2 linked regions of the Daphnia pulex genome follow. The protein of the gene in region 1 binds, or shares a complex with, the protein of each later gene. Links are inferred from orthologs where the notes say so. Each region holds a gene or a part of one and is shown in the gene's direction. Other genes may lie near its edges.

Region 1 (4,036 bases):
GCGCTTCTTCTTTCGTGACGTCTGGACGGACGGCCATCACTGAGCCCAATGCTTTCATTTTGACGCATTCGGCGTGTTGTTTACGGATTCGGAAAGGCGAAGCGTCTCCCTGTAGATTAAAAAGCCATATAAAAGGTTGCTCAACGTTTTGATCACACACTTTTTTACCTGAAACATGGCCGACATGAAACTACAATGGGTCAGGTTAGCTGCTCTGATTTCCGTGCACGCCAAATGGTGGATATTTTTAAAATCAAGTTGGTGTCGACATGCGTCAAACATGTGAATCATTTCGTGTGTCAAAATTCCTTGAATTATTCCCTTGTTCCGAACTACATTCTGGCATACTACTATCTATAGACATAATCAAAAGATTATCATTATTAATTGAGAAAAAAGGACTATTTATTATCTGTAATATTTACTTGATTAAGTTTTGGATCATAGCCACCAGAAACCGAGACATCACAAACTTCACAGGCAATGTGTCTCCTCAAATCAATTTCACTATGTCAAAATGCGAGAAGATATTGCAGCATAAATGAAATTTAAAAAACCTTAATTTTATTTCATACCATCCAGATGATTTTAATGCACTGTACATTAACTTAACAAGAGGACCTAAATGAATCAAATGGAAGGATTAATTTACAACTGAATTTTGTAAGAAAACGTAAGTTCAGAGATGTTTACTGTTTTCAAAGCAATTGTAGACATTCCTTTCACATGTAGTTTTTTCTACATTGGTTTGACCAGCACCAAACAAAGCAATCTGCCACCATTTCGCACGTGCAGCTTCACCCCTTCTTTCGGGGTACAAGTCGTAACCCCAATTGTCTTCTTTGTCCACAGGTGCAGCTTCCGATGGTTTATCCGACATAATTATACACCTAGACTAGAAACATGCAATTAACACTGAATAACAATACATGCATCGTAGTAAAGTTTACGATGTCTTTACTTTTACAGGTACTTAATGAGGTTGTTTTGAATTTTTGCTGTTTTTAGTTGTCCGTGTTATTCAGCAGACGACAGACTGCCGGCTGAATGGCTTTACAGCATTGTGTGGAATTTGTTAAAATATTGATTGATATATTAAATTAAAAAACAAATCAAAATATTTCCCAATTAAAATAAAGAGTTTAATTGGAAATTCTCGATATTAAATTCTTAGGTATAAATTGCTAAAATGTAGCATTTTGCAATGCTGCCACGGAATGAAACCCCACCCCCAGAAGCTAAAATTGTCAAAGCCGAGTCCAAACTCAGAATAGAGCTCCGCCATTTTCTTCTACTTGTTCGGACGCGTTCTTTTTAAGCTCTGGTTCGGTGAGAAATACTCGTTGCATAACTGTTCGCAAGACCCACTTTATTGGTTAGTGTGTTTAGTTTTTCATCCATTCTCAAATATTGACGTGATTGTGAAAATGTCGTTGGTGATAATTCATCTTTGTTGCTAGGTTTACGTTGTTTAACATTGAATCGTTGATTGTTTGACAAGTCTTCAATATGAAACGCGTGTCCGACCGTGATGCATCGCCTTTCAGCAAACGCTCTCGTTCAAGCCTAGGCCATTATGATGAAAGCTCTGATGATGAGAGAGGTGGAGCTCCTCCTCCAAGACGTAGGCGTTCACCCAGCCCCAGTCACCGATCAAGATACCCTCTGCCTCCCGATCCACCAGTGATGAGGGAACGAGATGACTACCCACCACCAAGGTCTCGTCCACCACCCCCATCGACTGGTTACAAGACTCTCCTTGTCAGCTCAATCCATCCCAAAGCCAGTGACGAAGTTGTCAAAGACTCGCTCTACAGAGAGTTCAAAAAGTATGGTGAGGTTAGCATCAAGTTGGTGCACGGTGCTGAACCAGAAGACCGTTTGGCCTATGTTTCATTCAGAAACCCTGAAGATGCTCGTGAAGCCAGGCACAGCAAGCAGCGAATCATCTTGTATGACAAACCAGCTGTGCTCGAACCTGTTTACGAACCCTCTACCGCGCGAAGCACCAGGGCGCGTTCACGAAGTTATTCACCGTTGCCATACCGAGGCGAAGAAGAGCGTTACATTCGACCTCGTTCCCCAGATGATCGACACCGCATGTACGACGATCGTTACGATTATTCTCTGCGTGGATATGGTCCTCCACCTCCAACTGGCATGTACAGAGACTATCGTCCACCACCGTACGACTATCCTCCCCGTGGACCGTCATCTTACCGTGGTCACTCTTATTACGGCGCTGGAGGACATCCACCTGTCCCCCATTATGAAAGAAGTGAACGAGGTGGAGGTAGTCGAGGAGGTGGTGGTGGAGGCGGTGGAGCTGGCGGCGGCGGAGGTGGAGGTGGAGGAGGTCGCAATGAAGAAGGAGGCGGTGGAAGAGGAGATCGAAATCACGACCGCTACGAGAACAAGAAAGATCGTTTCCCAAATTATTTGCACCACATCCCGCCAGAAGAGGATCCATTGGCTACTCGGACTCTTTTCGCCGGTAACCTGGAGATCAACATAACAGAGGAAGAGCTGCGTCGCATCTTTGGCAATTACGGCATCGTCGAGGATGTTGACATCAAGAGACCGCCTCCAGGCACTGGCAACGCTTACGCCTTTGTTCGTTTCGAGAATTTGGACCAGGCCAATCGGTGTAAAGTCGAGCTTTCTGGCCAGTACATTGGCAAATTTCAAGTCAAGATCGGTTACGGTAAAGCCACGCCCACTACACGCATCTGGGTCGGAGGTTTGGGCTCGTGGACGTCGCTGGCACAATTGGAGCGTGAATTTGACCGTTTCGGCGCCATTAAGAAGATCGAATACAACAAAGGAGACACGTCGGCTTACATTTTGTACGAGACGATTGAGGCAGCTCAAGCAGCCGTTCAGGACATGCGAGGCTTTTGTCTGGGCGGCCCGGATCGGAAACTGAAAACTGACTTTGTTGACACCAATCCCCCGACAGCTCATCCGCCAACTGCCAAGACTAAAGGATCGTCTTCTTCCTACGATGCTGCCACCGCTAGAAGTGGAGCTGGCGACGATTATGCCGGCGAAACCAACTGGAACAATGGAGATGATCCCAATTATCGTGCGGGATCCGGTCGGACGGGTCGAGGAAACCGAAGTGGCTACGAGAAGAGGCCTAGCGGATATCGAGGATCAGGAGCCGATGGTGACGATTGGTCGGCAAACAGCAGCCGACGTCCTCCACCGGATGATTTTGACGCTGCCCGAGGAGGTTCCCGATCGCCGTCGAATGAAAGGCGAACCGACGACGGTGGAAGATTCACTGGATCCCGTACGCTGGCGGAAGTGGCTCGACGTTCTCCCAGCAATTGGACGGGCGCCTTGGTACTCAAGAATTCGTTTTTCCCCACGAAATTACACGCGACATCTGGCGAAGCGGCGATCGCCGATCTTTTGCTTCACGACGAGAAGAACCAGCCTCATTTGCGAATTACTCAGCGATTGAGGTTGGATCCGCCCAAACTGGAAGACGTTTCCCGTCGAGTTTCAGCTTCTGCGTCTCACGCCATCTTCCTCGGCCTGCCCGGATCGACAGGCGGAGCTTCCAGTCCCACTTCCGACGAGGCTGCAGGTGTCCAGAATCGTCCGCTTCGCAATCTCGTGACTTATCTCAAGCAGAAAGAAGCGGCTGGTGTCATCTCGCTGGCCAATAAGAATGCAGATGTGACTGGCGTCCTTTACGCCTTCCCTCCTTGCCCATTCGCTGCCGATCTACTCCGACGAGCAGCTCCGTCTCTGTCTGACGAGACTCTAAAGGATGATCACTTGGTGATAGTTGTAGTTAAAGGTATATTCAATCATTTCTAACTATCGTTTCATATTTTAATATCTTTCAATTGTATTATTTTGACAGGAGGAACTGCTTAAAACACAAATCAATCGACAACTGATTTACTACCATCTCTCAGACAAAGCCCGCGCACACCTTTAATCTTCTACCAACCGCTACCAAGATTTTTCACCAGCATACGAACGACATCTGGGTTTGGCCGTTTTGTTATCCCTACAAACA
Region 2 (3,589 bases), on another chromosome or scaffold:
TTCATTTTTGCAAACAAAGACTAAAAAAAAAAAAAAACAATATGTTAGATCACACTTCACATCAAGAATAGTAAGACGTCACGTTTTGGATCACAAAATTTCTTTCAAAACATTCATGTTGTAACCTTGAAAGCATGTGAGTTTCATTCAACAACTACCTTTAATGGCCCATCAGAAGCCATCCTTGGCGAAAGTATAAGCTTAAAATTCGATAAAAGGGACAGAATGGCTATTTGCCTAGGAAATTATACACTATGACAACCACTATAAAAAAACGCCGTTTAAAATACTGTCGACGCGTCGAGTGAAACTGAAATTTCGAAGCGACTTTTTTCGAACCAACGGAAACGTTGAGTGAAACTACAACGTTGCCACTCGGTACCGCCAAGTCAAAAAAATTTATTTGTTTCTCATTGGTTGTTAGAGATGTCTAAAGGGGTTGGGAAACCCCTTACTGTTATACTGTTACATTACATTGGTTTTTTTGGTACAATGATTTAATTGATAAATTAACACTTGACAACACAAAACAAGCTTACCTTTTCCTGTTGACTTTAAAAAGCCAAAAAATAAGATTGTCTGCGACTCAGATGAGTACTTGTGCTTTAACAACTTTGTAAATTTGTGAAGAAAGCCGTACTACTTTGTGAATAAATAGAATCTAAAACAACGAAAAGGTGCTTTTTCGATCCTTTTCCGTGTAGAAAAACTCTCAAACCATGCTGGTTGAGCTCTAATGTAATGTCTTTGATTGTTTCGCTTCAGTTTAGAGTGAAAAGGGCGCGTTTCTCTCAAAGATTCGAGACACTGACGGTACCTCTCTGCTCACTTTTAACACAGCGTGTAAATTTTGCCCTTGGTAGATACTAAACAGCAACAATGAGGAATCCCGCTGATCGCTGATGTGCCGAAAACGAGCCGAAACATCTTTGCCGGAGCTTGCTTTTTCTGTAATATTGTGACATGCAGATATTCAAATGTATTCAGTTTGCATACTTTTTAAAATTTTAATATATTTCAACTTGCAAATGACTTTCGAAATTTTAAATTTTTGAGTTTTGAAATACCGGAGTTCGGCCATGGTTAATTCGGCCGCTGACGGTTTCAATTAATTAATCAATATTATTTTAAATCTTATTTTAACCGATAGAATTCAAATTAAGTGCTTTGATATTTCATGCTTGCAAGTATATTTTGCCCTTTTCATCAAATATCGAAACAAGACATTGATTTACAAGCGGCAACTAAGGTAAATAATAATGGCGGACTATTGAATGGTTAGGGTTTTTAAATGTTTTGATATGTTAAAGGTGTACTCCACAGTCAACATTGAGCACTGTGTCGGTATTTAAGCATTTGATATCTATAATGGCAAATTATGTGGATAATTCCAGTGTACAAGGTGAAATCAATTTAAGTGGCTGAATCAATACAATCTGTATCACTGCCTTCTCCCTTTAGCAGAGACAACTGTCACAGAAGAAGAAAACTCTCTTAATATGGATAAAGTGGACCTTCTAAAACAGAGAAGAGAATTGTCCAGAAAACGGAAACAATGTCTCGTACAGACCGTGAGTATTTATTGTGCTTTAGTTTAAAAATTCACATTTTCAATCTTAGCTTACGTTTTTTTAACCAGTTGGGAATGCAGTCAGTGGAGAAATTGAAAGAGGCATTGGGAAGTGGCACAGATAGTTCCAAAGCAGAACCAGGAATGGAATTACTTAGACCTTCAGAGAAATACATAAAAAAGAATGCTAATGCCGACGGAAGTCAACAAGACGAAGAGACAAAACTGCTTTACACTGATTCGTCAACCTTTCTAAAAGGAACACAGTCTTCCAACCCTCACAATGATTACTGCCAACATTTTGTTGATACTGGACAGAGACCCCAAAACTTTATAAGAGATGTTGGCTTGGCTGATAGGTAAATGATTGGGCAAATCTTCCCTAAAGCAATTACCTACTAAATTAACCATTTTTATAGGTTTGAAGAATATCCCAAGCTCAAGGAACTTATTCGGTTGAAAGATGAATTAATCGCCCAGACAGCTTCGCCTCCCATGTATCTGAAATCCGATTTAAAAACGTTTAATCTCAAAGACATTGGTTGTAAATTTGACGTGATCCTCATTGAACCTCCTTTGGAAGAATACCAGCGTTCTTTGGGTGTGACCAACGTCGATTTTTTGTCATGGGATCAGGTAAATATATATTGAACCACAATATAATGAATGATTGTGAATTAATGGTTCTTTTTCCGCTTAGATTATGGAACTCGACATAGGTGAAGTTGCTGCTCCTAGGAGTTTCATATTTTTGTGGTGTGGTTCCAGTGATGGACTAGACTTGGGGCGTGTGTGCTTGCGCCGATGGGGATTCCGGCGATGCGAAGACATTTGCTGGATAAAAACCAATGCAGACGCTCCGGGTCATTCGAAAAACCTCGAGCAGAAAGCCGTTTTCCAGCGAACCAAAGTAAGACCATTTCAATTTCGTCTAACCAAATGCTTTTACTGATGTACTGATTTTGAGTAGGAGCATTGTCTGATGGGAATCAAAGGAACAGTTAGGCGTTCCACGGACGGAGATTTCATCCATGCCAATGTCGATATCGATTTGATAATTACGGAAGAACCCGAGTATGGATCTCTGGAGAAACCGTCCGAAATTTTCAACATCATTGAACATTTTTGTCTTGGCAAAAGGAGGTTAGGAATTTATTTTTACGGTCACTTCATTAGAATTTTAATTAATAATTAATTTTTAAGGCTCCACTTATTCGGGCGAGACAGTACTATTCGACCGGGTTGGTTGACGGTTGGTCCAGCGTTAACAAACAGCAACTACAACGCAGAAACATACGCTGGCTACTTTAATAGTAACTGTACGACTACCGGATGCACAGAAAGGATTGAAGCTCTTCGCCCTAAATCTCCTCCACCCAAAGGCAGCAAAGGGGCAGGAGGTGGACGCGGAGGTTTTACTCGGGGCGCAGCGCGTGGCAGGGGAAGATGAAATAAGCATTACTTAATTAATTTCTAAGGCATTAAATTGCAAATAAACGTTTTGAGTTTTCAATTCTGTTTTGCAACACTTCGAAAGTTAAGATAAAATTGTGTAACGCATTTAAGGAAATGACGCGAATAGATGATTCTGTTTAAATTACAAAACAATTTGATAACTTTATTGCCATTGGTATCAGGCAAAATTAATATTGTTTGGTAGAGTTAGACAAAAAATTGACAGCTATTTGTTAATTCAGAATAGGTTAAATGAACCGTGGCATACTTGTTAATACGAATAACTTACGAATTGGAAATTTGATTCACTTATAGATGGACCGGCTGTTTTAGCTCGAAAATTTGCGGTAGCGAATAACTGTCAACGTCAATATCGTCAATCCAAATATCCATGCAAAGCTTACTAAAAATCCCATGTAGACATCAGGCATTTCAATTCCCCAACCGCGGGAAAGAATACTTCTCAAACACTCGATGCCATACGTGACCGGTAGGAAACGGGCAACCTTTTGTAATGCCGGAGGCATCCCTTCTACCGGCCAACAAATGCCTCCCATCAGTAAA

Evidence for each region. The genes of interacting proteins can lie anywhere in the genome.
Region 2: RNA-binding protein spenito-like (region 1) and N6-adenosine-methyltransferase non-catalytic subunit-like share a complex: the UniProt entries of both Drosophila melanogaster proteins name them as parts of the WMM complex. The link is inferred for Daphnia pulex from reciprocal best matches to the Drosophila melanogaster genes nito and Mettl14.

What each region holds. Positions count from the first base shown.
Region 1 is NC_060023.1:11,551,279-11,555,314, forward strand, and holds the start of RNA-binding protein spenito-like, read left to right. Parts: upstream 1-1,233; 5' UTR 1,234-1,375; exon of another isoform or gene 1,376-1,460; 5' UTR 1,461-1,509; coding exon 1,510-3,811; intron 3,812-3,877; coding exon 3,878-3,891; 3' UTR 3,892-4,036. Other genes in the region: mitochondrial inner membrane protease ATP23 homolog, read right to left, coding at 1-109, 169-354, 426-507, 576-621, 694-880. UniProt on the Drosophila melanogaster protein: RNA-binding protein that acts as an associated component of the WMM complex, a complex that mediates N6-methyladenosine (m6A) methylation of mRNAs. M6a modification plays a role in the efficiency of mRNA splicing and is required for sex determination.
Region 2 is NC_060026.1:13,578,767-13,582,355, reverse strand, and holds N6-adenosine-methyltransferase non-catalytic subunit-like, read left to right. Parts: upstream 1-1,238; 5' UTR 1,239-1,368; coding exon 1,369-1,402; intron 1,403-1,461; coding exon 1,462-1,571; intron 1,572-1,639; coding exon 1,640-1,929; intron 1,930-1,989; coding exon 1,990-2,206; intron 2,207-2,266; exon of another isoform or gene 2,267-2,270; coding exon 2,271-2,480; exon of another isoform or gene 2,481-2,540; coding exon 2,541-2,713; exon of another isoform or gene 2,714-2,773; coding exon 2,774-3,020; 3' UTR 3,021-3,083; downstream 3,084-3,589. Other genes in the region: DNA topoisomerase 2-like, read right to left, coding at 1-20, 159-182; ABC transporter G family member 20-like, read right to left, coding at 3,355-3,589. UniProt on the Drosophila melanogaster protein: Non-catalytic component of the WMM complex, a complex that mediates N6-methyladenosine (m6A) methylation of mRNAs, a modification that plays a role in the efficiency of mRNA splicing and is required for sex determination.